4 linked regions of the Notamacropus eugenii genome follow. The protein of the gene in region 2 purifies or fractionates together with the protein of the main gene of each other region. This does not show direct contact. Links are inferred from orthologs where the notes say so. Each region holds a gene or a part of one and is shown on either strand. Other genes may lie near its edges.

What was found.
Region 1: the proteins of SSRP1 (region 2) and MCM7 purify together in Homo sapiens (affinity purification with mass spectrometry; 4 studies listed by BioGRID and IntAct, with this or other methods). This does not show direct contact. The link is inferred for Notamacropus eugenii from reciprocal best matches to the Homo sapiens genes SSRP1 and MCM7.
Region 3: the proteins of SSRP1 (region 2) and H2AX purify together in Homo sapiens (affinity purification with mass spectrometry; 4 studies listed by BioGRID and IntAct, counting the BioPlex papers as one, with this or other methods). This does not show direct contact. The link is inferred for Notamacropus eugenii from reciprocal best matches to the Homo sapiens genes SSRP1 and H2AX.
Region 4: the proteins of SSRP1 (region 2) and TOP2A fractionate together in Homo sapiens (co-fractionation; 3 studies listed by BioGRID and IntAct, with this or other methods). This does not show direct contact. The link is inferred for Notamacropus eugenii from reciprocal best matches to the Homo sapiens genes SSRP1 and TOP2A.

What each region holds. Positions count from the first base shown.
Region 1 is NC_092873.1:80,676,639-80,683,563, reverse strand, and holds the start of MCM7 (DNA replication licensing factor MCM7), read right to left. Parts: upstream 3,014-6,925; 5' UTR 2,822-3,013; coding exon 2,791-2,821; intron 1,527-2,790; coding exon 1,447-1,526; intron 1-1,446. Other genes in the region: AP4M1 (AP-4 complex subunit mu-1), read left to right, coding at 3,281-3,338, 3,440-3,528, 3,706-3,812, 3,885-3,981, 4,135-4,245, 4,334-4,414, 4,628-4,690. UniProt on the Homo sapiens protein: Acts as a component of the MCM2-7 complex (MCM complex) which is the replicative helicase essential for 'once per cell cycle' DNA replication initiation and elongation in eukaryotic cells.
Region 2 is NC_092873.1:2,927,950-2,935,087, forward strand, and holds the start of SSRP1 (FACT complex subunit SSRP1), read right to left. Parts: upstream 3,022-7,138; 5' UTR 2,864-3,021; intron 2,193-2,863; 5' UTR 2,078-2,192; coding exon 2,024-2,077; intron 1,516-2,023; coding exon 1,330-1,515; intron 1-1,329. UniProt on the Homo sapiens protein: Component of the FACT complex, a general chromatin factor that acts to reorganize nucleosomes. The FACT complex is involved in multiple processes that require DNA as a template such as mRNA elongation, DNA replication and DNA repair.
Region 3 is NC_092876.1:279,716,565-279,722,882, reverse strand, and holds H2AX (histone H2AX), read right to left. Parts: upstream 1,522-6,318; 5' UTR 1,414-1,521; coding exon 976-1,413; 3' UTR 527-975; downstream 1-526. Other genes in the region: HMBS (porphobilinogen deaminase), read left to right, coding at 1-10; DPAGT1 (UDP-N-acetylglucosamine--dolichyl-phosphate N-acetylglucosaminephosphotransferase), read right to left, coding at 4,681-4,746, 4,900-5,055, 5,203-5,290. UniProt on the Homo sapiens protein: Variant histone H2A which replaces conventional H2A in a subset of nucleosomes. Nucleosomes wrap and compact DNA into chromatin, limiting DNA accessibility to the cellular machineries which require DNA as a template.
Region 4 is NC_092873.1:355,954,831-355,962,192, reverse strand, and holds the start of TOP2A (DNA topoisomerase 2-alpha), read left to right. Parts: upstream 1-4,347; 5' UTR 4,348-4,352; coding exon 4,353-4,403; intron 4,404-7,362. UniProt on the Homo sapiens protein: Key decatenating enzyme that alters DNA topology by binding to two double-stranded DNA molecules, generating a double-stranded break in one of the strands, passing the intact strand through the broken strand, and religating the broken strand.

The sequences.
Region 1 (6,925 bases), about 78 Mb from region 2:
TCTTTTAATAAATATGTTCTGCACCATCCTCATCTTTCTCTAGTCTTAAGTTTGACCTTCCTAACCTGAATAAAATACTTTAGATATGGACAGTGAACAGTAAAATTATCAATTTGTTCTGGATATTATGCTTTTCTTAATGAGTACATTAAACTTTCCAGTTTTCATTTATCACTCCAAGAAAGAAAAAAAAAAGTGCTATTCTTCCCAACAAAATGATATTATCTGTAATGCACTGGCAATTAACTTTATAAGCTTGCTTTCTAAGCAACACCTCATATTTCAGTTTTCACTTACACAGCTGCCAAGATTTTTCTTCTCACAAATCCTGAGGATCATGGACCCTACACCTATCTAGATAGAGAAGAGTTGGGGACAATAGACTGGGTGATGCCATGTACTAATGATTCATGTTGAGCTTTGAGGTCACTAACACCTATATCTCCATCTTTTTGATGTGAATGTCTACCCACACTGCTCTCTTAATAAATGTTTGCTAACTGATTGACATCCAAAAGCATTTTATTAGATTTGGCCCACTAGTCTTTCCAGCCAATATTTTTTAAAATCTTAATTCTGTGATTAAACATGTTAGCTATCATTCTCACCTTTGTGTCACTTGAAAGATTTGGTAAGCATGCTCTGTATATCTTTGTTCAAGTTACTAATAAAAATAGGGAACAGCACAGAAGCAAAAACAGACTTCTGGGGCATTTCACTAGAGATCTCCCAAGATGAAAGGAACCTACAGATCATATGTTTAGTTAACTCAACAGTTCTAAGTCTACCGACATACAGTAGCTGAAGTCTTCATTTTGTTCATAGGATGAAAGAGTCTGTTGAAACATTGCTGAAATTTAGTTCAACTATGCTTAAGGCACCTCTCTAATCTAACCTAGTAACCCCATTTATAAAAGACCCTTCATGAGCACCACTTCCCTTTGCAAATGTTTGCAAAACATCCCTTAAATCTTAGCCACCTTGGCAAGGAATTCAAATTTCACTCCTCAATGTGCCTAATCGATGGAGACTTTGAACCTTCACTGTGCAATAAGCACTGCCTTTGAATTCTCACTGTTACAATAACATGATTTGGGTTTTCAAAAAAATCACATCACCAAAAAATATATATGTAATAAGCTAAGTCCCACAGGAAATATGATTTTCTAACCTTAAAAGTGTAGTTTCTGAAAGTAATCTTCATTTTCATCTGTCTTCCCACTCCACACTCATGTGATTTCCTACCCTAGTGGTTCCCTACCTTGTATAATCAGTTCTTCATTACTCCAGTAGGACCCAAACTCTGGAGAACTACCATGACCCATGACCCCCCCAGTAAGTCAAGCTTCTGTAGGAAAGCATATAGAATGAACCACTTCTCAAGTCTCATTCCTCATCTGTGTACCTGTCCTGGTTTTTCTTTTAATCACCCATCCCTGAACTCACCAGTTGGTCCCCATACTTGAATTGTTTCTTGCCAAACTCATCATCTCGGTAAAACTCTTGTAGAAACCTCTTAGCTTTCTCTGTTAGCAAAAAGACAGAAAATTATTTTTTCTTTTTCAGTCCTCCCTATGGAAACTCTTGATACTAGTCTTGATCTACTTGTATCAAAACAAACTGACTGGAAAAAGTCATCACAGCCTAATTTTGAAATGAATTGAGGAAGAAAGATTGCCAAGTGGTATTCCTTTTCTTCTGTTGGTGTAGAGTGGTCCAAAAAAATTTCATGTTGGGTCGCTATAATGTATTCCAAGGATACCACTAAAACTATCCAGACTGGGCTTTGCTTTTTGGCACAGTCCTTTTCTCCTTCCTCTATTTCTTCCCCACAAACAAGTTTCTAAATTTCCAAGTCTCCCAGCCTTCAGCTTCCCACTCCTAACAAAACTTTTATTCTTTCTCCAACCCTCAAAAGGCACTTTTCGGTGCTAAAAGGTGAGCCCATGACTCCAGCCTTACCTTTTTCACTAAGTCCCTACTGGTTCCAACAGTTTCCATTCTTTGTAAACAAAGAAGCACATGGCGCCAACCACAACCACACCCCCCTCCACTGCCCCACGGGATGCCTGAGCACTGCTCAGGGGAGTGCCCGAGATCCCGGGCAGACGGGGCACTACTACCCGGTGTCCTCAACAACGTCCTCTCCCTGAGCTCTCCAGGATGCTACCCCGACCTAATGCCCTCCCTCAACTTATCCGGACCTCATCAGTGCTGGCCCCGCGGAAGGAGATTATTTACATAGCACTGCTTTCGAACAGAAGCACCGCACTTCCGCCAGCAAACGTCACTTCCGTCTAGACGGCCAGGTCCTAAACCAATACCAGGGGCTCGGCGTGTCCCTGGTTCCGATCTCAAGGAAGGACTCGGGGACAACGGGGTCGGATGCAGGCTAGGCGGCTGCTCCGGGAATAGCCCCTCTCACCAAGCCCTCCGCCGGGGCACAGGGTTACTTTCCGCTCCTGCCCTGCCCTGCCCTCCGTAAACTTTCTCCAGCGGCCCGGTCCCCGCTCTCACTCCCTGTCCTCCCGCTCCCGTCCCCAGAGTCCGGCCACCTCCCTTGCCTGAGTGTGCCCTGCCCCTCCCGAGCTCCCCCAGAATCTCCCCCTGCGGCTCTTCAGTACCCCAGCTTGCGCCCCCCCGCCAAGTCCCCCAGGCCTCCCTTCTTCTCCCGCACAGCTGACCCCACTCCCCTGAGCCCCTTGCCTGCCTCTTCGCCTAGCCGCCAGCCCACTCTTCCCAGCCTCCAGCGCCCCAGGGGCTCCTGCCGCGCCCCCTTTGACCCCTCACCTTTTTCGGCCGCGTAGTCCTTAGGAGCCATAGCTGCCGGACGGAGCGGACGGGGTAGTGGTGTCCCGAGCAGAACTAGCGGGCCGGCGGCGGAAGGCGGTTGGTGGGATCTTGAAAAGGGAGAGAGGGAGAAGAGCCAGCGCGCAAGAAACTCGGGGGAGCAACCGAAATTGGCGCGAAACGTCCCTGACCACGTGACCGACGCTCCCCCTAGAGCCAATAGGGAAAGGAGTGTTTGCCGCCGCCGCCGAAGTTCCCGCCCCCGCGGGTGCGGCTCGGCCTGAGACCCCGCCCCAAGGGGGAACCGTGAGCGTCACCCTCTCCCTCCTCTTCCCCCGCTGGTCCGCCAAACCTCAGCCAATCAGGGGCCACATGGGGAGGTTACGCCTAGAGAGGCCGGGCTTAGTGAGGAGGCGGGGCTTAGTGAGGAAGCCAGCGTCCGGCGGAGTCCAGACCGGCCCAGCCTGCGCTTGTTGTGCCGCGGAGGGCCATGATCTCCCAGCTCTTCATTCTGTCCTACAAGGGGGACCCTCTCATCTACAAGGACTGTATCCTCCCACCCGTGGGCCGGGAGGGAGGGCGTGGGGCGGCTGGGTCCGGGGGCCGAGACGCTGGACAACCTGGGCCGCCCTTAACCCGGTCCGCTCAGTCCGAGGAGACTGTGGAGGCAGCGATGTGGCCGAGATCTTCTACAGGAAGGTTACGGAGCTGCCAGGGGACCAGCCTCCTGTGGTGATGGTAACGACCCTGGGGGGCACGGGGTGGGATCTGGGGCAAGGAGCGGTCAGCCACACTGGGCTAGAGAGGACGGGGGATCTGGCTTCCTGGAACGTCCTTCCAAGACTCCCGTTCTTGTTTTTAACCCTTTATTCGTGTTCGTTCCTCCACTCCCCAAACTGTCACCCATTCCCCAAGCATCACAAAGGCTACCACTTTGTCCACATCCGGCACTTCAGCCTCTACCTTGTGGTCACCACCTCTGGGGGTGTTTCCCCGTTCATTCTTCTCGAGCTGTTGTCAAGGTGAGGACGGTGGTAGAGAGAGGGGATGGGGAATTGGAGTTCAGAAGACCCATTGCTTCTTCTTTTCCCCAGGCTAGCCACCCTACTAAGTGATTATTGTGGCTCCATCAGCGAGAAGACTCTCTCCCTTAATGTAGCCCTTGTTTATGAACTCTTGGATGAAGTGCTGGTAAGGAGCAAAGGCTAAGGGCCCAGAGACTTCTCCCCTCATCTCCAATTCCAAGGAGATGCGCCCTTTTTATTAGAAGATCTAGGTCCCTTTTCCCTCCATCCACGCACACCTATAACTTGGGCATACAAAAACATACCATTTCTATTACAGGACTATGGCTACATCCAGACCACATCTTCAGAGATGCTGAGGAACTTCATTCAAACTGAGGCAGTGGTCAGCAAGCCCTTCAACCTCTTTGAGCTCAGCAGTGTTGGTCTGGTTAGTGAAGGAAAGGGAGAAGTTGGTTTGGGGAGATGAGTTAAGGTAGGATTAGCTAGAGGACTGACTACTTGTGGATTTTTTACAGTTTGGGGCTGAAACACAGCAGAGCAAAGTGGCCCCAAGCAGTGCAGCCAGCCGTCCAGTCCTAACTAGCCGCACTGACCAGGTGAGGAAGGATATCTGTGTTATCAAACATCCATGCATCTGCACCCATGTATCCAACTTCCCAGTGGTTTCTCTGTTCCAGCCGTTCAGTCTCCCAAATTCTTAGGATAATCCTCTATTTTCTGGGACCCAGATATCTCTTCTCCCAGTCTCTTCTACCTCTAATCCCTGAGAACCAGGCATTTGTTTACTCCAGATCCCTTTTCTTTTCCAGAGTCACAAGAATGATGTTTTCTTGGATGTAATAGAAAGACTCTCAGTGCTTATTGGATCCAATGTAAGTTTGAGTCCTTCAATTCACCTAAAAAAAATTTAGTACCAGTTAAGTACAGATTCAGAGATAGTATGGTATAGTAAATAGATAACTGATCTTAGAGTCCGGAATACCTGCCTTCTGATTCAAACTGGCCGTATGGTCTTTTAACCTCTTGGTGCCTCAGACACCTCTCTAAAGCTATAATTTGAGGGATAGTTGCTAAATAGCATTGGAATCAATTGACAAGGTTTCATTAAGCGCTTGCAGTGCCAACCACTGGAGGAGGGAGTTTCCTCAACAGGAGTTCCCTACACTAAATAAATCACAGAACTGGACCAAAAAATAAAAACAGAACTCTGGATGAGTCACTAGGGAGATGTGAAATGAAGACAATCTGTCCCATTTCAACCCTGGAACAGGAGCACATCCAAAAGGTATAGGGAAGCTAGGGCTGTAGCTACCTGGGACATTATTCCCAGTGGTGACACAATGAGCCTTTGATAAAAGGTTCATCCTGCATATTTCCCCTCAGATTGATTATGAGGGAGTGAGGAAGACACCAAACAACATTATGAGAGTTCAGAATCCTCGAGGTGGAAGAAACCTCAGAGTCCATGAGGTTCAATCCCTCCCTACCTATACAAGAATCTCTTCCATGTTATCGATAACACTTGATTATCTCTAGTGTCAGGAAGCACCTACTTTCTAAGGAGCCCATCCCTTTTGGGGATCATTCTGTTATTCCATTCATTTATTCAATAAGCATTAAGTGTTTACTATGTGTGAGATACTGCCAGATGCTGGAGATACAAAGTCAGTTAAAAACAATTTCTGCCCTCAGAGAGCTGGGAGCACTAAGGGGATCAGGAAAGACTTCCTATAGGAAGTAGTACTTGAATTGCATCTTGAAGAAAGATAAGAGAGTAGTGAGGAAGGAGCATATTTCAAATCTAGAGGGCAGTCTGCACAAGTGCTTAAAGGTGGGAAGTGGAATGCAATGAATCTGGGGTATTGGGCTAATTTAATTGGAGGCCAGCATGGAACAGGGTCACTAACTCTGGAAGCAGAGGACCTGAGTTTACACTCTATTTCTTGACACTGTGAACTTCACCGAAGTCAGTCACTTCACCTCCCTAAGGCTCAGTTTCCTTCTCTGTAAAATGAAGAGATTGCATTAGCTGGCATCTATGGATCTATCCAGATCTTCTGAGCCTATAACTGTAGAATACATGAAAGGAAGAAGTGTAAAATGTTAGAAAATTTTTCTTCACATTGAAGTATATCTGCCTTTCTACAAATTGCATCTTTTGCTCTCTGGGACCAAGCAAAAAAAGTCTAATTCTCCTTCTACATGACAGCCCTTCAAATATTGAATAAAGTGAACATGTTCTCCCTAAAACCTTTTCGTTAAGCATCCCCATTTCTCTTAGCTGATCCTTGTATGGCATAGTTTCCAGCTCCCTTGCCCTCCTGTTGCCCTCTGGATAATCTCCAGCTTGTCAGTATCACTAAGTACTTCAGCTATGATCTAATCAGGGCATAGTTCAGTGGGACTCACATGCCAAGATCTTCTTTGGTCTTGAATTTGTCATCCATTGTATTAATTGCATGGATTTGATATGCATCTATTCCTTCACCCAAGTTGTAAAAATTGTAAACAACATAGAGCCAGTCCCTGGAGCTTTTTGTTGGATACCTCTCTCCAAGATGGCATCATGATTATTCTTTGAAAGACTATTAAGTCTTTCAACCATTTATAAATCTACCCATTATTATCTGGTCTGTGTCTTTACATCTCATCCGTAAAGATAGCACGAGAGACTTGTCAAATGCTTTACTGAAATCTAGATGTACTGTATCGACAGCATTCTAATGAAGTAAGGAAACAGAGGTTTATCTTGTATGACCTGTTCTGTGTTAAGCTATGTTGTCTATATGTGATCAAAGCTTTCCTTCTTCTGGTGGTGATTCTTGTCCTTTGTTCTCAAGGAGAACCAAAGAGACATCGCTATGCTAGAGTCAAGTTTCAGTGTGTCCAACTGTGGCTGATCAGACCAGTACGACCTCAGAATGCTCTACCACAGGTCAGGCACATGTGTAAACATTCGGGGTGGCTACTTTAAATTTGCACATCCTGCATTTCCTTTGAGCTGTTTCAATTCTGTTTTGGTCATGGAGCACAGCCCCATCTCTGATGTGGGCACATCATGCTGAGTGGCCCTGTGCCAGTGTCTCCCGTGTCACAGAGTCAATTCC
Region 2 (7,138 bases):
TTCAAAATATGGGAATTTAGTTGAGACATAAAGGAAGTCAGGGGAAGCAGTATGCAGAGATGAGAAGGGAAAGCATCCCAAACATGTTAAGACAGTGAGAGAAAATGCCCAGATCCAAGAGATGGTATGTATGTTGTAGAACAGCTAGGAAGCCTGCATCATTGGACTAAAGAGTACATGCCAAGGAATAAGGAGTAAAAAGACTAGAAAGGCAGGGGAGGAATAGGTTTTCAAAGTGCCATTCTCCAAATGAAAAATGATCAAAGGATATAAGTAGGAAATTTTCAAGGAAAGAAATCCAAGTTATTTACAAGTATACTGAAGGCAAAAACTGATCCAGATCACTAATAATTAGAGAAATGAAAATTAAAGTAATTGTAAGACTCTACACCTATCAAATCAACAAAGTTGACAAAAAAGGAAAATGATAGATGTGGGTGAAGCTGTGAGAAAACAAGGCACATTAACGTACTGCAGATGGACATATGAACTGGTCCAGCTGATCTGGAAAGAAATCTGGAACCATTCCTAAAAATTAATTAAACTGCCCTTCCATATAGAGATTCTACTACTAGCCTATACCCCAGAGATGCAAGAAAGAGAAAAAAGGAGCTATCTATATCAGCTTGCTTTTTTTTTGTACTAGCAAACAAAGAACTGGAAACCAGGCTATACACCCATCAACTAAACAAATAATGGTACGTAAATGTAACAGAAATTAGTGTGCTGGAAGAAATGATGAAGTGGGATGGTTTCAGAGAACCTCAGGAAGATTTATGATGCAGAGGAAGCAGAACCATGAGAACATCAGAACACCACTGTAAAAACAAACAACTCTGAAAGCTGTAAGAACTCCAATCCATGCAAAGACCAATTATGATTCCAGAGGACCGAAGTTAAAGCATGTTTCTGACCTCCTACCAGTGAGCTGAAAAGTTTAACCTATTTTTGGGCATAGCTAACATAAGAATTTGTTTTGTTTGATTATGAATATTTGGTAATAAAGTTTCATTTTCCTTTATTTTCCCTCTCTGGGGGTAGGAAGAGAAAACTGACTAAAAAAAAAAAATAAAGATTGAGTTACTCAGGCAAGGACAAAAGACGAAAAAACTAATCTGACAAATTCACATGCCCCTAAAACCAAAGAGAAGGTGATGGTCAAGCATCACTAAGAAGTCACACAGTACTGTCCCATGGCCCCTAGAGTTATACAATTATAGGATGACAAAGAGATTAGTTATATCTGGAAGGCAAAGAGAAGACATAGACGTATAAGACTGGCTGAGTAAGAACAGGCTCCAGTGCGATAGGAGAAAGAGCAAATCTCACCGATTCCCTGAAGCCATCATACTTATAGAAGTGTCCATTCTTGGTAAGAAGCTTGAGGCCATGGCCCAGAGCCACCCGTCTCCAGACACCTTCCGTCAGCTCCCCAGCCTGGATGTTGTCCACTTTGCCCGTCTTGCTGTTCTTAAAGATTATACCTTGTCGGCTCAACCGAAGACGACCATCATTCTGCAGGAGAAAAGGACCAGAACATTCAAAGATATCACATAAAACATGCTCTGGATTCCTGTTACTCTGACCCCCACTCTGACAGCAAGTTGCTCAGAAAACAAAGCAGATAAATTTGAGGCAGTATGGAATTGTGGCAAAAACATCAGACTGAGTCAGGAACCCTGTTTTTAGCCCAAGTTCTGCCACAATGACCTAGAACAAGCCAATTCTACTTTCTGGCCCTTAGTTTTTTCACCTGTAAAATGAGGGGTTGGACTAGGTAAGCTATAAGGGTCCTTTCCAGCTCTAAGAGACTATAATTCTACGTCTTCCCCATAATTATATTATCATCGTGCTAGTTAAAAACTAAAGAAAATACCGAGAAACCCACGAGCCTCAAAAACTATCAAGAGTGTCAGCCCCCCTGCGGAAAGAGATTATTCCCCTCTCCGTAGTCCTCGGGTCCGGGGTCTGGGGTCATTCCAATCCTCCCTCTCCTCTACCTAAAGTGCCCCTTCTTTCTTACCATAGAACCTTTCACCTCCTGGTAGATATCATTGAATTCCAAAGTCTCTGCCATGCTGACCCGGCCCCAGGAGCCCCAGCGCCAGACAACAGAAAACTAAGCAGAAGGACCCCCCCAGGAAGACGCTGGTTCCAAAGAGGTGAGCAGGTCAACAGAAGCCTACTGGGACCTGGAAACAAAGAGAAAGAGGGAAAGCGAGGAGGCAAATGAAAAGTGCGTGCCAGGCACAGCGAGTAGTTACATAGTTACTTAATAAAGGTTTGTAGGATCCCCTCCATCTCTCAGTAGGCAGGGAGAGATTAGAGGCAGGAGGGGGCGGAGGAGGGGGCTCACTGACGACCTCCCAGGAGAACCAGGACACTTTTGGTGGCTGTGGTCCCAATGCCCACGCCCGACACCGCGGGACCGGAGCAGGTGGACGTTGGACCAGTGCGGGTCAAAGCCCCGAGCCCCCCCCCTCCAGCTCCCCGTGGGGGCAGAGCCGGGGCTCCTGGCCTCTCGCGGCGCCCCCCCAGTGGCCCCCTCCTCCCCATCCCCCTTCCAGGACTTCCCCCGGAGGCGCCCCCAGCCCTCCCTCACGTGGCCCCTGGCCCCGGCTCCCCACCTAGGGACCCTCGAGTCCCCCTCTCCCAGGCTCTGGGTGGCCCCTCCCCTTCACGTCCCTCACCTGACTCCTCCCTCCCAACCAAGAGCCCCTTCTCCGAACCCCCCACCCTGTCTCTCCTCCCCTTGTTGATTCCTCTCTTCCCCCTCCCCTCTCCCCTCCCCCACCTCCGAGCCGCCCTCCCCCCAGGCTGGATGTTGGCGGCTCACCCCCTTCACTCCCGCCCCGCGCCTCACCTCCTCAACCCCGGGTTCCTGGGGGGCATGGATGTACACTCGGGGGTCTCGGGAGGGGAGGACTATGGGGAGGGGGGGGGTTCCAGGATCACAATCTTTTCCCGCGTGCGCAGCCCCGGCTCCCGCCACCGGAAGCGACGCTGCCATAGAGAGGACGAGCGGGCTAGAGGGGACCCCGCAGTATCTCTGCTGGCCCGCCAAGACATCATAGAGAGGCTGGAGGACTGCGGGAGGGGGGCGGGGCCCGAGGCTCGGCGAGCGGTACCCAGACCTCGGACATGCGAGCTCGGCACCCTGCGGTGTCGTGTGTGTGTACGTGCGTGTGTGTCTATGTGTTGTGCGTGTGCCCCTGGGCTGTGTGCATGTGTGTGCGTGTGTCTATGTGTTGTGTATGTGTTGTTTGTGTGCTCCTGGGCTGTGTGCGTGTGTGTCTGTGTGTTGTGTGTGCGCGCGCGTGTGTTGTGTGTGTGTCTATGTCTGTGTCTGTACGTACTTGTGTTTGTACTCGTGAGTGTGTGTGTACATGTGTGTGAGTTGTATGTGTGCCCCTGGGCTGTGTGCGTGTGTGTCTGTGTGTTGTGTGTGCGCGCGCGTGTGTTGTGTGTGTGCTCCTGGGCTGTGTGCGTGTGTATGCGCGTTTGTGTTGTGTGTGTCTATGTCTGTGTCTGTACGTACTTGTGTTTGTACTCGTGAGTGTGTGTGTACATGTGTGTGAGTTGTATGTGTGCCCCTGGGCTGTGTGCGTGTGTGTCTGTGTGTTGTGTGTGCGCGCGCGTGTGTTTTGTGTGTGCTCCTGGGCTGTGTGCGTGTGTATGCGCGCTTGTGTTGTGTGTGTCTATGTCTGTGTCTGTACGTACTTGTGTTTGTACCCGTGAGTGCGTGTGTCTGTGTCTGTGGGTGTGTGCCCCTGGGCTGTGTGCGTGCCTGCAGGTGCGTGGCTGCACAGGCTTCCTGGCCCGTTGGGCACAGCTGTGTGGCCCCCCCCAGACCTGGAGCAGGACGCATTCGGCTCCCACCTTGTGCCCTCCACGCGTGGGGCTTTGAGCGAGGCCCTTCCCCATCCCCTTCTGTGAAACCAAGGGGAGTCTCCGGGTTATCAAAGTTCCTCCCAGTTCTGAGTCCTAGGGTTCCTAGAGTGATGCCCTGGGATGAGGAGGCCCTCACCCCCCCCCCAAATTCCCCGCTCACTAGAGATCCCCAAGAAGAGCCCTAATACGTTGCAGGCACAATTCTTCGGGTATGGATGGGGATCAGCCCTGACTGCGAATCTGGGACTGTCCATTGGACAGCGGCCCCGCCCCCACCCGCTAACGGGGTGAGAGGCTCGGAACTAGCTAGGCAACCAGAGCGCAAGATTCAGATCCATCCTGTCCAAACTCTCTTTCCGCCTCATTTTCCGCCCCATATGAAGAAACTGAGGCTGAGAAAGGGACAAGGGATTCTCCAAGCCTATGCGGTGAGTTAGCCACAGGCTTCCCAGCACCCCATACCGTGGGACTGTAGCTTTTAAAGGTACAGACCTGCTGTCTATCCTCACAACCCCGCCCCTCCCACAATCACAAGGCTTATTCTCATAGAAAGAGACAAGCAAACAGATTTCAGTGTCGGGTTCAGTCTCCGGTGTCAGGTTCACAGTGGAGCCAGAACTGATTTGGCAGCTCTCTGAGATGGCAGAAGCCAGAAGCAATCCCTTTTCCAGCAGTCCTGGGTACAATTCATAACCATTCCTTCCTAGGGCAAGACAGGGAGGGGTCTTAGGAAATTGTCAGAGGGTACCGAGATAAATGCTTTCCACCAGACGTGTAGCTGCAAGTGCTAGAACCTCATCACCCTAATGCGTATGGCATGCCTACAGTGCTTTGAGGTATCCAAAGACCCATGTAAGCTGTTGTTGTTGAGTCATGTCTGACTCTTTATGACCCCATTTGAGATTTTCTTGGCAAAGATACTGGACTGGTTTGCCATTTCTTTCTCGAATTCATTTGACAGATGAGGAAACCGAGGCAAACAGGGTGAAGTGACTTGCCCAAGGTCACCTAGTTGAGAAACATCACAGCAGGCATTCGAACTCAGGTCCCCACACTTCAAATCCAGTGTCCTTTACTTATAGACAGGATGTAGGACTCCAGGAATGGGACTACTCCCCAAAATTCAAATCATGGGACACCTCTGGGAATAATGGTTCACATTTATACAGCCCTCTAATGTTTGCAAAATCCTTCCCCAACAAGCTGCCTAGGTTGGTAGAACAATGTGAATATCATTTACATTTTAGAGAGAAGGTAGGTGTGAGACCCCGTTGCCGTTGTTGTTTTTTTATATATTTCCCCCAACTACATGTTAAAACATTTTTAACATTCTTTTTAAATTTTGAGTTCCAAATTTTACCTCTCCCTGAGATATAGGTTATACATGTGTGATCATGTAAAATGTTACCATACTAGTCATTTTGTACAAGAGTCAAGTGAGAGAAAAAGTGAAAAATAGCACACTTCAGTCTGTATTCAAACGCAATCATTTCTTTCTCTGGAGACAAATAGTATGCTTCATCATTTGTCCTTTGGGGTTGTTTTGGATCATTGTATTGCTAAGAACATCTAAGTTATTCACAGTTCATCATCATACGGTATTGCTGTTATTGTGTACAACACTCTCCTGGTTCTGTTCACTTCCCTTTGCATCAGTTCGTGTAAGTCTTTCCAGGTTTTTCTGAAATCATCCTGCTTGTCATTTCTTATAGCACAATAATATTCCATCACAATCATTTACCACAACTTGTTTAGCTATTTCTAAATTGCTGGGCATCCCTTCGATTTCCAATTCTTAGCCACCACAAAAGAGAGCTGCTATGAACTTTTTTTGTACAAATAGGTCCTTTTCCCTTTTTTTCAACACAAACATTGAAATGAGTAAAAATAAAGCAACAAGGTACCTATCGAACTTCTATTCCTTGTTCTTTTCTTAACAAAATATTTGTTTTCCATAGGAGCTAGGTGGTGCAGTAGATAGAATGCTGGACCTGGAGTCAGGAAGACCCATATTCTAACTGACCTCAGACATTTACTATTTGTGTGATCCTGGACAAGTCACTTAACCAATATCTGCCTTAGTTTCTTCATTTGTAAAACAAGAATAATGCTATCACCTACTCATTGTAAGGCTCAATAAAATATTTGTAAAGCATTTGCTATGTAAATGCTAGCTATTATTTCCTTGATTTACAACTCAACAGGATAGTAACAAAATGGTTCTATTTTTCATGTTCCTCTTCTGCACTTTGTTTTCTTCTGTGAATTAAAAAAAAAAATATGTCTTTATTCATTTTTCATTTTCCTTATTGACTTGTCATGGTCACTGAGCTAAGGGTCAGAAATGAGATTCTGCTCCTGGCCTCCTGACTGCAAATCCAACCAGCTTTCCACTGTATTAATAGCAAGACGATTTTTAGGGTTAGTGAATTAAGTATCAGAGCCAACTTTCATTCCCCCAAGAAAATCATCTTGTTTTTTCCTTCAGAAGCTGCCTGTTTCTGTCTCTTAGAAAATTAAATTAAATATTTTCTGCCTCTCTGCTCTTGGCACAGAAATAAATTGGGTATAGTGTTGTATTGTTGGGGTTTTTTTGGCTTTGTTGAAAAGGAGAATTCACTCTGATCTGGTAGGCTAAAATGTCAGTTATAAAGACAAAATGCAGCACTAAAACATTTTTTAAGAACTATTAAATGTGTTATCAGAAACAGCACTAACCATAAATACATAAATCTAAACTTGCTTACTTCTTTACATTTAAATAACTCATTTCAATGCATTACAATGTTATTATTTCAGTCCTTCCCTCCTAAGTTCCCATCATGATCTGTCCATTCTTTCTCATGTCCTCCTCCTCATATCATTATAGTCTGTGTGGACACCATTGCTCTGCATATTTTCTCACTGTATTATTTCATAACAATTTCTCTGTTTCTCACACATAACTATAATTGGATTATAGTATTGTATTGCATGAATATACCACAATTTGTTCAACCCAGGGGAGGATTAATCACAGGATCATTGGATTTCCAGCTGTAATGAACTTTATAGGTTATTTAGTTCAGCAATTTTAGAGATGAGAATGAGACTCAGAAAGTTTAAGGAACTTTTCCAAGGTCACTCAGATACTAAGGAGGCAGAAGTGGGGCAAGAGCCAGGTCTCCACAGAATCATAGAACCTCAGAGTTGGAAGGAACCTCAGATGCCATCAAATACTACTACTACCTGAACAGGAATCCCCTTG
Region 3 (6,318 bases), on a different chromosome or scaffold from region 2:
TGCCCACTAACCTAGTCCCAAGGGCATTTTCTGCCCAGGAACATTGACCAGATTTGTTCTGGGGTGCCCTGAATCCTTCCCGGATTAATTAACTCAACAGGAACTATCCCTGGGCACAAAAAACTGCATCATCTGGGCCTCAGGTGTGGGAAAGGGGACCTGTTGCTGCTAAGCTTCCTAGTGCCTTGTTCTGGCCCTCTTTTACAAGGGGCTGGAGAATTGTTTTCTGTGGAGAGTCTACAGACTTTGAATGTAACCAAATTTGTCAATAAAACACCTGACCTTACTCTAGTGGAATTTTTATTTAGCCTGTAGATGATGACTGGGGTGTGGACAGTCATCCCATTCACCTTCCAGTATATCTATCTCCAGTTCCTGGCACATAAATACGCACGTTGACTGATTTACGTACTAAAATCTTTTTACTCTCCAGACCCAAATTCCCCCAAGGAAAAGTGGCCACCGAATCACCACGATCTTTAGCTAACCTTTGGCACCTAGGGGGAGCTGAAGAAAGACAAGAAACTTCATTAGAAAAAAAATTTAATAAAATTAAGTTAATCAGACTTCCGAATTGTCGTTCACAGTCTCTCAATTCCCCGGATAAAGGCAACGAGTCTAAGCTGAGAAAATTCAGTTCATTGTCCAGGGTCGGGGCCGGCCGGGTTCGGACGAGGTCTGGCCCTCGCTGGTCTGGGGGCCCCGCGCGACCTTGGGGCGCGATGGCCCCGGGCTTTGTTCGGTAGCTGCCAAGAGAGAAGGAGTCAGAATAACCCGGGCCCCGGCGGGCCGGGCCGCAGCTCCGGGCTCCGGGCTGCAGCTCTAGCCGGGCCGGGCCGGCGGGGGCGGGGCTCGGGGAGGGAGGCGGGTGCAGCAGCTCTCTCAGGGAGGGGGGAGGCGGCCCTGAAAAGGGCCTTTGTGGGGGAGGGGGGCCGGTGCGGGCCGAGCGGCCACGGGCCGAGGCCGGCGAGGCGCTCAGTACTCCTGCGAGGCCTGCGTGCTCTTCTTGCTGCCGCCGCTGCCCGGGGCCTTGGGTCCCGTGATGGCGCCGCTCTTCTTGGGCAGCAGCACCGCCTGGATGTTGGGCAGGACGCCGCCCTGGGCGATGGTCACGCCGCCCAGGAGTTTGTTGAGCTCCTCGTCGTTACGGATGGCCAGCTGCAGGTGGCGGGGGATGATGCGGGTCTTCTTGTTGTCCCGGGCCGCGTTCCCCGCCAGCTCCAGGATCTCGGCCGTCAAGTACTCCAGCACGGCCGCCAGGTACACCGGCGCGCCGGCTCCGACTCGCTCCGCGTAGTGGCCCTTCCTCAGCAATCGGTGCACACGGCCCACAGGGAACTGCAGCCCGGCCCGCGAAGAGCGAGACTTGGCCTTGGCACGGGCCTTCCCGCCGGTCTTGCCGCGACCCGACATGCTAACGTATAAAGCGCGAGACTGGTTCCGAGAGAACTACCGCGAGTAACGGCTGCGCGTGCGCACACACACTCACCAAACTCTCGCCGCAGTCTAAATGCCGGTCCGCGTGCAAAGCTGCCGCCTTTAAGGCGGCCGGTCACAGCGTCCTTTAGTTCCCTATTGGCTGCATCATGGAGGCCGCCTCCGATTGGCTGCCCTTAGCTATCAGGCTCCTCCTCCTGAGCGTATGAGCGTGCTTACCGATTGGCTGGATTTAAAAATTCTTCTAACCCGGGGAAGATCACTCCGACTAGCAAACTAGAGGGAGGGGCGCGGTCGGCTTCGCTCCTCCCCACCCCCGGCTTCCCGCTCCCCCAAGCGGCCAATCCATCGGAAGCGCGGGAGATTCAAATGGCCTAGGCGCCAAGAAAGGCAAATGAGCGCCCGCGGAAGAGTACTCGGGTTCCCTACTTCAAATCCGACCTCAGACACTTAGTAGCTGTGACCTCGGGCAAGTCACTTCATCCTGTCTGCCTCAGTTTCCTCATCTGTCAAATGAGTTAGAGAAGGAAACGGCGAATCACCCCAATATCTTTGCCAAGAAAACAAAGCCACAGAGTCAGACAGGACCGAAAGAGCCGGACAGAGGGCGGTCCCTCGGGACCGTCCAGCGCCGGCGGAGCCCGGGCCCCGCCCCCCGGAGGCGCCCGCTACGGGAAGGGTGAGGAAGGCCCTTTCCCATGAGGGCCCGCCCCTTGCCTAAGGACTAGTCCCGAAGATTTCCTCCCGCGTGTTCGCCTTCCTTCCCCGCCCCTCCAGGCAGCGGCTGCGGCTTGCCGTTCCCTCTCCAGCCCGTTCTGCCGAGGAGCCCCGAGCCTGCCGGCGGCTGAGACTAGATCCGAACCAGGGAGGCGTGTCTGACTGCACGGCCTGGCGCCGCCCTCCGCGCCCCTCGGGCCGGTGCCGGTACGCCGCAGGTGCTCACCGCGTGCTGAGTGAGCTCTGGTGGGAGGCTGGGCGGACCTTCTTTGTCCCCCGCGCTTGATGCTGTTACTAGCGATGATTGTCTTGGGAAATGCAAAAACCCAGGGTCAAGGTTAAAATGAAGTTTTGAATTGGTTTTCCTTTAGCCCAGGCCCTTTATTCCAAATCCAAACCCTGTTTGAACAAGTTCAGTGGGTAAGAAGAGGTCCCTGCAGCCCAGTCCCTAAGAGAAGGGAAAACTCCAGCCCCTGACTGGGCCCCAGCCCCAGCTGAAGGATCGGGGTCTTCTCTCACATCTACAAGAGGGAGGGGACTTGGGAGCTGGGAGGGCAGGGACTCAAACTTTTCTAGTTATATCTCCCGCACTTAGCACGTTTGTTGTCGTTAGGGGCAGCTGTTTGCCCCGGTTCTTTACCTGTAAAATGAGCTGGAAAAGGAAATAGCAAACCACTTCGGTATCTTTGCCAAGAAAACCCCACATGGGGTCATAGAGTCTGAAACAACTGAGAGTCAGCACTTACTTTTTTTCCCTCCCTCCATCCATCCATCCATCCATCTAACCAAGGATGGGGAACCTTTGACCTCAAGGACACTTGTGGCCCTCTAGTACAGCCGTTGAATCCAAACTTCAAAGTTCCAGCCTCGATACCAAAGGTTCCTCATCCCTGGTTCCATCCCATACCTGAATAGGATCCAATCTACAATATAACCTCAGCTTCAAGACTTTGACACCCAAGAAGGGGGAAACCTACTAGTGACCAAAGCAGTTTATTCTACCTTTCCATAGTTCTGTTTGGCAATTTTTCCTTACATAAAATCTAAATTTACCTTTCAGATTTCCACCCTTTGGTCTTATGTCTTCCTCAGAGATCAGTCTTTCCCTCTCATCCTTCACTTCCACTCCTTAAGACTGGACAGTTAAAAGGGCGATCATCCCTCTCAACCTTTGTCATCAACACTAGAAATAATTGCCACCAACAGGCAGATAGACATAAGAGCCCTAAGAGCTTCAGCAACCTTTACAGCATCACTCCTGCTTCTAGCCCAGCCCTCAAAATTGTTCTGAAAGTGCTGCAGCCACAGTTACTGAAGACTCAGAAAAGAAGGGTCTTGCCACCAAAGCCCCTGGCACTGCCAAGTGGTTCACCATCAGAAGTCAATATGATTTTATTGGTGGAAGTAACATTAAAGAAAAGGTATTTCCAGCTCCCTTGCAGCTGCACCCTAAGAACCGTGAGACTTGCAGCTGAACCTTGCATGTGGTGTTTCTCCATTAGAATATGAGCTCCTGGGGAGGGCCGGCCTGACTTTTCTATGTGCCTGCCCAGCACTTAGCACAGTGCTTTGCACATAGTAAACACTTAATAAGTGCTTCATTCATTCACTCTTATCAGTGGCAGTCCTCGACAAGTGGTTAGTGACCTCCTTTTGAACAGCTTCCATTGACTGGCAAGTTCACTGCCTGTTGAAGGGGTTCAGTCCATTTGTTGATAGCTCTGATAAGGAGTTGGTTTTTGAAAATTTTCTCTTACTAAGGCAAAATCTGTTCCTATGTGACTTCCACTCATTGGCCTTGGGTCTATACTCAAGACTTAAGCAAAAGAAGTCTAATACTTCCTTCTATGTGACACATTTTCAGATAGCTATTCCACCTGGTTGTTTTTCTCCAATGTAATTTTCCACATAGGTTGCATGACTTAACTATGTATGTTTCCCCCACCTGCAAGGAAGGGAAGGAGCTCAGTATCTGGAGCAAAGAAGACAGAAAGAGGGGCCAGGATTTGATATTTACCTAATGGTGGAAGCAGGCAGGGAAGTGTTCCCTCCCCTGCCCCCCCAAAATCATCTGAAAACAAGAGCACACCCACAGTTAAAAAAGTGAACCAAACATATTTATCATCACCAAAAGGAGCTAATGACCACTCAGGTTGCTCCTTATTAATCAAAATGCTTAATTCCCAGTAACATATCAATTCAGGGTGGAACCATTAGGAACCACCAGGGACTTAGCCTGATCCCTAGTGGCAACCTAGCTTCCAAGAAGCTGCTGCCTCCTGCCCCAGGGGAAGCATCAGGAAAGGAAGGAAAGGGAGAAAAATGTCAATTTAGGGAAGTCCATAGGGCAAATACAATCAATAAATAATCATTGAGGGGTAGGATACCTCCCCAAGGAGATAATTTTGAAGACAATAAGGATGGGGAGAAGCCCAATAGGCTTATGAGGAATACAGTCTTAGTCCAACAGGGGTCCACATGAGACAGGGGCAGAGGGTTGTGAAGTAAAGAGTCACCGTCAAAGACTCAAATATCATAGAAGAGCCGAACCAGCTGGTATCGAATAGAGAATGTGATAGCACTAGCCAGAATCTGCAAGGAGAAATAGATGGAGAGTCATGAGAAAAGGAGGCAGGGAGGGAGACCTTAGGAGGGTAACCAGCCTGGGGAGAGGATATATGGAAAACAGAAGAATAAGGAAGAGGGATAAGGACCCGCCATGCCCATCTTAGCCCAAAGGATCACCTGCAGGAGCAGAAGCAACAAAGTGAGATTTTTTTCATGAATGGGCCCCAAGATCTTGATGAGCAGGTTAATGAGGGTCATGTTGTTGCACTCAATGTAGGCACCAGCCTCATTTTCACCTCGACGGACAGCCACCAATCGGAGGGCTTCTGCACCCTGGAGAAGCAGAAGGTGGGTGTTAACCATAGCCATGTTTCACATCAGTAAGAGGAAAAGCACAAACCTTCCCTCAGGTCTGCTCTGGGTCTGGAGTTCCCATGCTCTGGGTCTATAGTAGTACCTGGGTGTGCATGTCAACCTTACCTTCAGTATCAGGGTGCCCAAGAGAGAAAGGTTCTTGGCCTTGAACTTGGAATAGCTCATCTCCAGCTTCCCAGTTTTGGTGTTGAGCCTACAGAGGAAATGGAGTGTGACACTCAAGAGGCAGCAGAGTATTATAGAAAGAGTTAAGAATCATAGGTTCACATTCTAGGGTCACAAACTTATTGGTTGTGGAAACCCATGGTAACATGTCCTCTCTGAATTTCAATTTCCTCATCTGTAGAATGAGGATTATAATAATCCTACCTCACAGGACTGTGAAGAAAGTACTTTACAGACCTGAAAATCTGTACATTTGAGTTATTCAATTCAACAAACAAGTGTCTACTGTGTGCTGAACACTACACGAGGTGTTCGATGAAATGTAAACAAAGCTTAGATAAGACAATTCCTGTCCTTATGGAGTTAAGATTTAGTTAAGGAATATGACACACATGAACAGAGAAAACAAAATATAGGAGGTTAAATAAGTCAAGGTCCACATAAATGCTTAAAAGGCACAGGTGTAAGGGAAGGGAAGGAAGGAATATGTCATAACTGAAGGGGAGGATTCCTAGCAGTAAGAGGTTGAGCTTTAAAGCACTGGGAGCACCTGGGAGCAGGAAAGGGCATTTCAGGCATAAGCAACTGTGTTGAGGAAAGGTAGCCAAGTGGAAAACATGTAAAGGTAACAAGCAGTACAATTTCACTGAAGTACAGGATATCGGGGAGTAATAGAGGACTGAAAATGTAGTGAGGGCCAGATTTCTGAGGGCTGTGAATGCCAGGCAAGGCAGTGTGATCTTTACTCAGGGGACAAAGGGTAATCCTCTGAGGGGTTGTGACCTGGCAGCATTATGAGGGATGGACTGGAATGAGGGAAAAGTGAAAGTGGAAGTTTTAGAAGTTGTTAGAAGGCTACTGCAGAAGCCTGGGCAGATGGCGATGAATATACAAGGTGACTTACAGTGAGAATAAAAAGGATGGAATGAGAGATTCTGCAGAGGCAAAATGGCTAGAATTTGGTACTTGATGGACGATGAGAGAGATGAGAGAGAAGAACAAATCAAAGATAACGTTGAAGGGTATGAACGTGGAGGATGAGGTGAATGGCAGCAC
Region 4 (7,362 bases), about 350 Mb from region 2:
CATAAAAGGAAACTAACAATTTGGAAGGGGGATAGCAGAGAAAGAAGTCTAGAGGATCAGGAGCAGAGAGACCAGGGAAGAGTGAAGGCAGACCTGGGACTTACCTGACAATGGAGATTCTGAGAGGAATTGACCAATTAGAGGAAAGGGTTATGGGGGCAGAGGGATCTTTCAGGGTTAAAAGGACTACAGGGACATGGTGGAGAACAAAGATCAGAGATTCAGGTGGTTCCTCAACTCTGAATGTTCCCAAAGCGTGTGGCCTCTCCCAGGTATGGAACCAGCGGTATGGAAATCTGTGGGAGAGTATAGCCTCTATAATACCCAACAAAGTGAACATATATATGGTGGATGTGGGAAAAGGAGAAGAGGAGAGTTTTCTTGTAATTCATTGTGCTCTGCTATTTGATTAAATGTCTTTTCTTTGGACTAAAGGGTCTTCTCATTCAAATAAAAGGAACATCAGTGGGAGAACACAAGGAGAACCTGGTACTCAAGAGAGTGGACAGGAATGGAAGCTGTTTTCTTGATGAATCCAAGTTTCTATTAGAGCAAAAAGATGGAATTCAAGTCACTTGACCAGATAAACTATATCCTTGAGTCCTGGAAGAACTGTCCAGTATGATTGCTGAGCCACTATCATCGATAGCTGAAAGGTCATAGGAAATGACAGAAGTTGGAAAAGGAATATGTTGTCTTGATTTTCAAAAGAGGGCAAGAGAACAGAGTCTATACCCTATACAGAATCTATAAGTCAAGGAGTTTGACTTTGATTCCTGGAGACATTCTAGAACCAATCATTTAAAAAATGGTTGAAAAACATCTAGAAAAGGAAAACAAATGGTGATAGTGAAGTGGATAGAGCACTGGGCCTGGAGTTGGGAAGGTCTCAAACATTTACAAGCTGTTACCCTGGGTAAGTCACTTGGCCACTGTCTGCCTCCACTTCTCAACTGTAAAATGAGGGTGATAATAGCAATATCACAGGGTTATTGTGAAGATCACATGGCATATGCATGAAGCTCTTAGCACAATGCCTTGCATATAGTAGAGCAGTTAATAAAGGCTTATTCCCTTTCCCTTATAAAGAGCCAACGTGGCTTCCTCTAGAACAGGTTATGCCAAACTAACCTCATTTCCTTTTTTGACAGGATTACTAAAACAAGAGGGCAGTTAGGTGGTGCAGTGGATAGAGCACCAGTGCAGGAGTCAGGAGGACCTGAGTTCAAATCTTACCTCAGACACTTGACACTCACTAGCTGTGTGACCTTGGGAAAGTCACTTAACCCCAACTGCCTCATCCTGGGCCATCTCCAGTCATTCTGATGAATGGTCACTGAATTCAGATGGCTCTGGAGGAGAAGTGAGGCTGGTGACCCGCACAGATCTCTCTCACTCAAAAACAACAAAGTCAAATACAAGTCGTATCATCATTTCTCTACACACACTAAAATAAGAGATGAGAGGAATGCTGTGAATATAGTTTACCTTGATTTTAGCAAAGCTTTTGATCAAGTGTCCTCATACTATCCATGTGGCTATAGTGAAGAAATATGGATTAATGACAATACAATCAGATCTGTCCAGAACTGGTCAGATGATCCAACTCAAAAAGTAATTGCCAATGGTTCCATATGGATATGGCAAAGGTACTCCTTTGTATCTGGGCTTGGTGTTGTGTCATTGAACATTTTTGATGGTGCAATTCATTAAATTGGAAGAAGGCACAAAGCCAAGAAATATAGTTAATACACTGGGTGGCAGAAACAGAATTCCAAAGAAAAAACTCCATAGTGATAAATGTAAAGTCTCACATTGTACCATAAATCAATTTCACAAGTGGAAAATGGGGGAGGTATGTTTATTAAGAAAGTCGTTCTTTAAAAAAAAAAAAAAGTTCTGGACAATGAGTTCAATATGAGGTTATAGCGAAATATGGAAGACTTCTAAAAAGTTAAACTAATCTCAGGTTTCATTGACAGGGACAGAGCTTCCAGGAAAATAGGAAAGTGATAGTCCCACTGCACTCTACTCTTGTCAGACTTCATCTTGTTCTTTGTGACCCCATTTGGGATTTTCTTGGCAAAGATACTGGAGTGGGTTGCTTTTCCAGCTCATTTTATAAAGCAAGAAACTGATGCAAACAGAATTAAATGACTTGCCAGGATCACACAGCTAGTAAGTGTCTGAGATCAGATTTGAACTCAGAAAGATGAGTCTTCCCGTCTCTGGACCCAGTGCTCTATTTGTTGCACCTTCTAGCTACCCTTTGTCAGACTTCATCTAGAATACTATGTTCAGTTCTGGACACTATAATTTAAGAAGGACCTTGATAGGTTAGAAAATATCCAATGGAGGGAAGTCAGGATGGTGAAGGGCCTTCAGTATTTGTCATATGAAGACCAGTTAATGGAATTAGGAACGTTTAGCCTGGAGAAGAGAAGACTCAGTGGGGCATGATAAAAGTCTTCAGGTATTTGAAGGAGTTGTCATATAGAGAATCTAGTCTAGTTCTGTTGGGCCCCAGAGAGCAAGCAATGGAAGCTGTAAAGATTTAGCCTGTGATATCAGGGAAAACTTTGAGCAATTAGCATTGTCCAAAAAGGGAGTGCACTGCTTCCGGAAATGAAGGGTTCCTCCTGCTTGGAGATCTTCAAGCAAGAAATGCGATGAACAATTAATTATCTGAGGTGTTATGGTGGGGGATTCCTTTTGTGTATATGTTGAACTATATAGAGACCGAGGTACCTTTCAACTCTCAAGCTCTGTGATCCTATAAATATTATCTCGTCTAACTTCCGAGTCATTGCTCTGTTCTGTCTTCATTTCCCTACCTATTTGCCTGCTTCTTCTCGGTCTCCTTTACTCCTACACACACGGATACAAGCACAAGCACAAGATTTTTCCTCAAGACCTCTTCTCTTCTCTATATTCATTCAATCAGTGATCTCATTGGTTCTCATAGCTTGAGGTATCACCTCTATGCAGATGATTCTTCAATCAGCTGTAATCTCCTCTCCTGAATTCCAGTCCTTCTTAGCTCACTGTCTGTTGGACATCCCAAACCCATTATTACCAAAATAAAATTCATTATATTCCCATTCCTCTTCCAAACATCCCCATTTCTTTTGTAGGCATCACCATCCTTCCTATGACCCAGATTTTCAAAGTCAAAGTCATCCTTGATTCTTCCCCTCACCCCCCCCATATCCAATCAGTTGCTAAGTCTTGTTGATTTTACTCCTATAACATGTCCAGAATTAGTACCTCTTCTCTCCACTTTATTCAAACTCTCATCACCTCTCCTACCCTCTAGCAATAGCTTCCTAATTGTTCTCCCATCTTCCAGTCTTTTTCCCTCTCCAGCTCATTCTCCACACAAGTACAAATTAGCATTTCTAAAGTGCAAGTCTGACCAGGTGACTGCCCAAACATCTTCAGTGATGTTCTATCATCTCTAAGAAAAATACAAACTCCTTAGATTGGCATTTATAGTCCCTCAAAATCTGACTGCCACCTACATTATTTTACATATTCCTTTTTCAAGTACTCAACATTTCAGCCAAACTGAATGTATTGATTAGCCCTGAGTCATGTTGTCTTGAAAAGTCTCCCCTCCAAAAAACCAAAGCACTGTAAGACTACTCTATCTTCTCTGGAAGAAGCATCAGCAGATGACAGTTCCAGCAGATGTCAGTAGTAGCTTCGAAGAGAAAATGAACATTAGTTTGGGAAGAAGAGGAAAGGAGAGGCATTCCAAAAGAGATGCAACCTTTCTTCTCCTAGGAATATGCTTTTTCCAGAGGATATTCCCTTTCCTGCTGGCATGGAAGGCTAGCAGGGAGGAGTCGTGCTGACATGCTGAGAATGGTTCTACCACTTAATTTTCCCTTATTTACTTTTTATTTTATCATAACTAAATACTGTACCATCTAATTTATTTTTTGTGCCTGGTCTGTGGGTTGGATGGTTGTCATATTTGCAAAAGTGTCACCCAAAATACCCCATACTGAATCTGGGATAGTAAAGGGGTCAAAAATGTTTGGGACCTGTGGTATTCAGTAAATACTTAAGGAATAAAAGTGAATGAATGAATGATGAAATTGACTAGCCCACTTACAGGAAATCTTATCCACATGACACCTTAGCATAATTAATGTCATTAATTACACAAAGGAAATGGAATTAACTAGTCCCAAACTGTTGTACCACACTTTCTTTAAACTGGAATAGAGTTATGATGTGATCTTTCCCTGCCCCCACCCCAACTACCACTTTATGACATCAGAGAAGATACAGCCTCATAAGTGACATGCCATAGTTCCTTTCTCACATTCATCTCAAAGGAAGAGATGGTTTATAACTGCGGTGATTGGAAGAAGAGAAATCCTAATAAGGCTAAGGCAAGTGAATATGTTAGTCACTTATTTTTTAAAGATTCTTTTTTGAGGGTCTGATTGTTAGGAAGTAGTAAATCAAGAAAGGTAGAAGGACAAGGAAGAGTAATAGCAGCTTTACTCACACCCTTGCCGCTCCTTTCTTCTTGTTCCAATCAGATCTTCAATCAGATCAAATGTCACTTAAGGACTCGTAGTGGTAGTCACATCTCCCCAACTAGGTTGTGAACTCTATAAGAACCGAGAATTCTGCCGTATCTCTGCAGGAACTTCTTAGGTGCTTAATTATTTATTTATTGAATCTGCTTTAATAGAAGGGAGAGGTAGCAGGTTTGATTTTTTTAAATTTGGCTTTAAAATAATTCTATCATGCCTTTCCCTCCCCAGCACATGATGAAGAGGGAACATTGGGAGACTAATTTCCTTCAGTTTTACTCAATCCTAAGCAAAAAATTAGCATGGGAGAGGAGGGATACCACCTGAAAGCAAGGATGGTCTAAAGTTGAGCTGCTGTTGAAAAACACTAGGGAAGTTCGGAGAGTTGTGTTTGAAATCAACCCATTTTCTCATCTGTAAGAATGGTCTTAAATATCCAAAACTTCTTAACAGCCCAGGTCTCTTGGCTTTCCAGGTTTCACTATATCACATTGCCTTTTTGATTGCACATTTGATTGTGCAACATGGGAGACACTGGCACAGGACCTCTCAGTATGGCATGCCCACATCAGAAAAGGTGCTGTGTTCTATGAGCAAAGCAGAATTGAAACATCACAAAGTAAATGCAGGATGCGCAAATTTGGAGTAACCACCTCAAATGTTCACAAAGACTATCTGTGCCCAATCTGTGGTAGAGCTCGTATTGGTCTGATCAGACACAGCCAAACATGTTGAAACTTGACTTTATCATGGTGATGTCATTTTGGTCCTCTTCGAAAACAAAGGACAACAACCAACCAACTAACCATATCACATTGCCTGATACAGGGAGGGATGATAATAAAGGGTGAGCAAAGTGCTCATGGATCTTATAAAACCACCAGAATGAGTGTAGTGCAATCCTCTGTCAAATATTTCCCCTGACAAAAAATAAGGGTGAATAAACAGAAAGGCATTTGTTAAGATGGCAAATAAAGAATTTATTAAGCACTTCTATGCCAGGAACTGTGTTAAGCACTGAGAATACAAAGGGAAAAAAACAGTCCCCACTCTTTGCCCTCTTGGGGGGAAAAATGCAAGCATCTATGTGCAGATAAGACATATAAGGGACAGTGAACAAAGGAAAAGTATTTGAATTAAAAGGGATTAGAAAAGGCTTCCTATAAAGATGGGCTTTTTGCTGGGACTTGAAGGAAGCCAGGAAAGTCAGAAGGCAGAGAGGAGAAAGAAAAACTTTCTGAATAAAGGGGACAGGCAGTGAAAATGTCCAGAGTTAGGAGATGGAGAGATTTTCATTCAAGGAACAACAAGAAGATGAGTATGGTCGGATCAGAGCATAAGGTGTAAGAAGATTGAAAAGATAAACGGAGATAAATTGGGTTATGAAGAGCTTTGAATCACACATTTTATATTTGATCCTGGAGGTGATAGGAGACTAGAGGGGGATTGTTGGAGGGTGACATGATCAGACTTGAAATCACTTTGACATATAATTGACAGCTGAGAGATTTGTGGCAGGGACATTGATCAGTCCAAATCTGAGGTGATAAGGACCTGTTTCCAAGGTAGTGACAGTGTCAGAGGACAGAAGGAGGCACATGCTAGAGATGTCACAAATATAAAACTGATGGGTCTTGGCAAAGATTAGATGAGGGGGGAGGGAATGAAATAGAGTATTGGAGTTGGGAGGACTTGAGTTCAAATTTGACCTCAGATACTAACTCTGTAACCCTGGGCAAGTCACCTAACCCCAACTACCTCAAAAAAAGATGGTGAGAAGTTAAGATACCTGGAAAGTTAAGAAGCCTGGAAAACTAGGAAGATGGTAGTATCCTCAACAGTTTCAGGGAAATTAGGAATAGGGAAGGATTTGAGTTAAGATAATGAGTTCACTTTTGGACATGTTGAGTTTAAGATGTCTACTGGATATATGAGAGCAATGCCTATCCTCAAGGATCTTACATTCTAACGGGAAAAAAAACACCACACAAAAGGGAACTGAAAATTTGGGGAGGGAGAAAGGTGAAGAGAGAAGGTACCAGGAAGGTACATGGCCAGAGGTGGAAAAGTTGAGTAAGGGGTAGAGCTCATTGAGACTTGAGTGGTAATTGGCCCTGGGAAATTCCTCAAATGGAGGTTCTAGGAAGATACTCACTGAGGAGAAGAGGAAGCCTCTATTAATCCCTTACTATGTGCCAAGCATTGTACCTAGGCTGGGGAAATAGGAAAAAATAGAAAACTTGAGACAATCCCTGCCTTCAATTACACTCTAATTGTAGGAAACAGCACCAAAGAAAGCTTTCCCACCCCCACCCCAATCCCTCAGTGAGTATATTTTTCTAAGCATTGCTTTCGTAGGTCTCTCAAGACCTGTGAGCTCAGCCTGGGCTTTTACAACAGAATCAGTCAAGCAACCATTATTTATTAAGTACCAGCACGAACCAGTGTACCGTGCTTATGCTGAGAAAATGAAGACAAAAAAACTGCCCTCAGGAAGTGCACATTCTGATGGGAAAAGAGAGCATATAAATAGATATATGCAAGATCTATACAGTTAGATGAAAGGCAATTTCCGAGGGGAAAAAGCAGCTAAAAGGACCTTGAAAGATCTTCTGCAGAAAGTGTCTTCAAAGAAACCAGAGAAAGTAAGAGAGTAGAGCTAAAAAGACAGAGATGGGAGATGGAGCATTTGTTTGAGGAATACAAGTGCACCAATGCCCGCTCTAGGTGGTACAGTGGATATGATGCCATCCTTGGAGTGGTTCAAGGCACTTCCTAGCAATGTGACCCTGGGCAAGTCACTTAACCC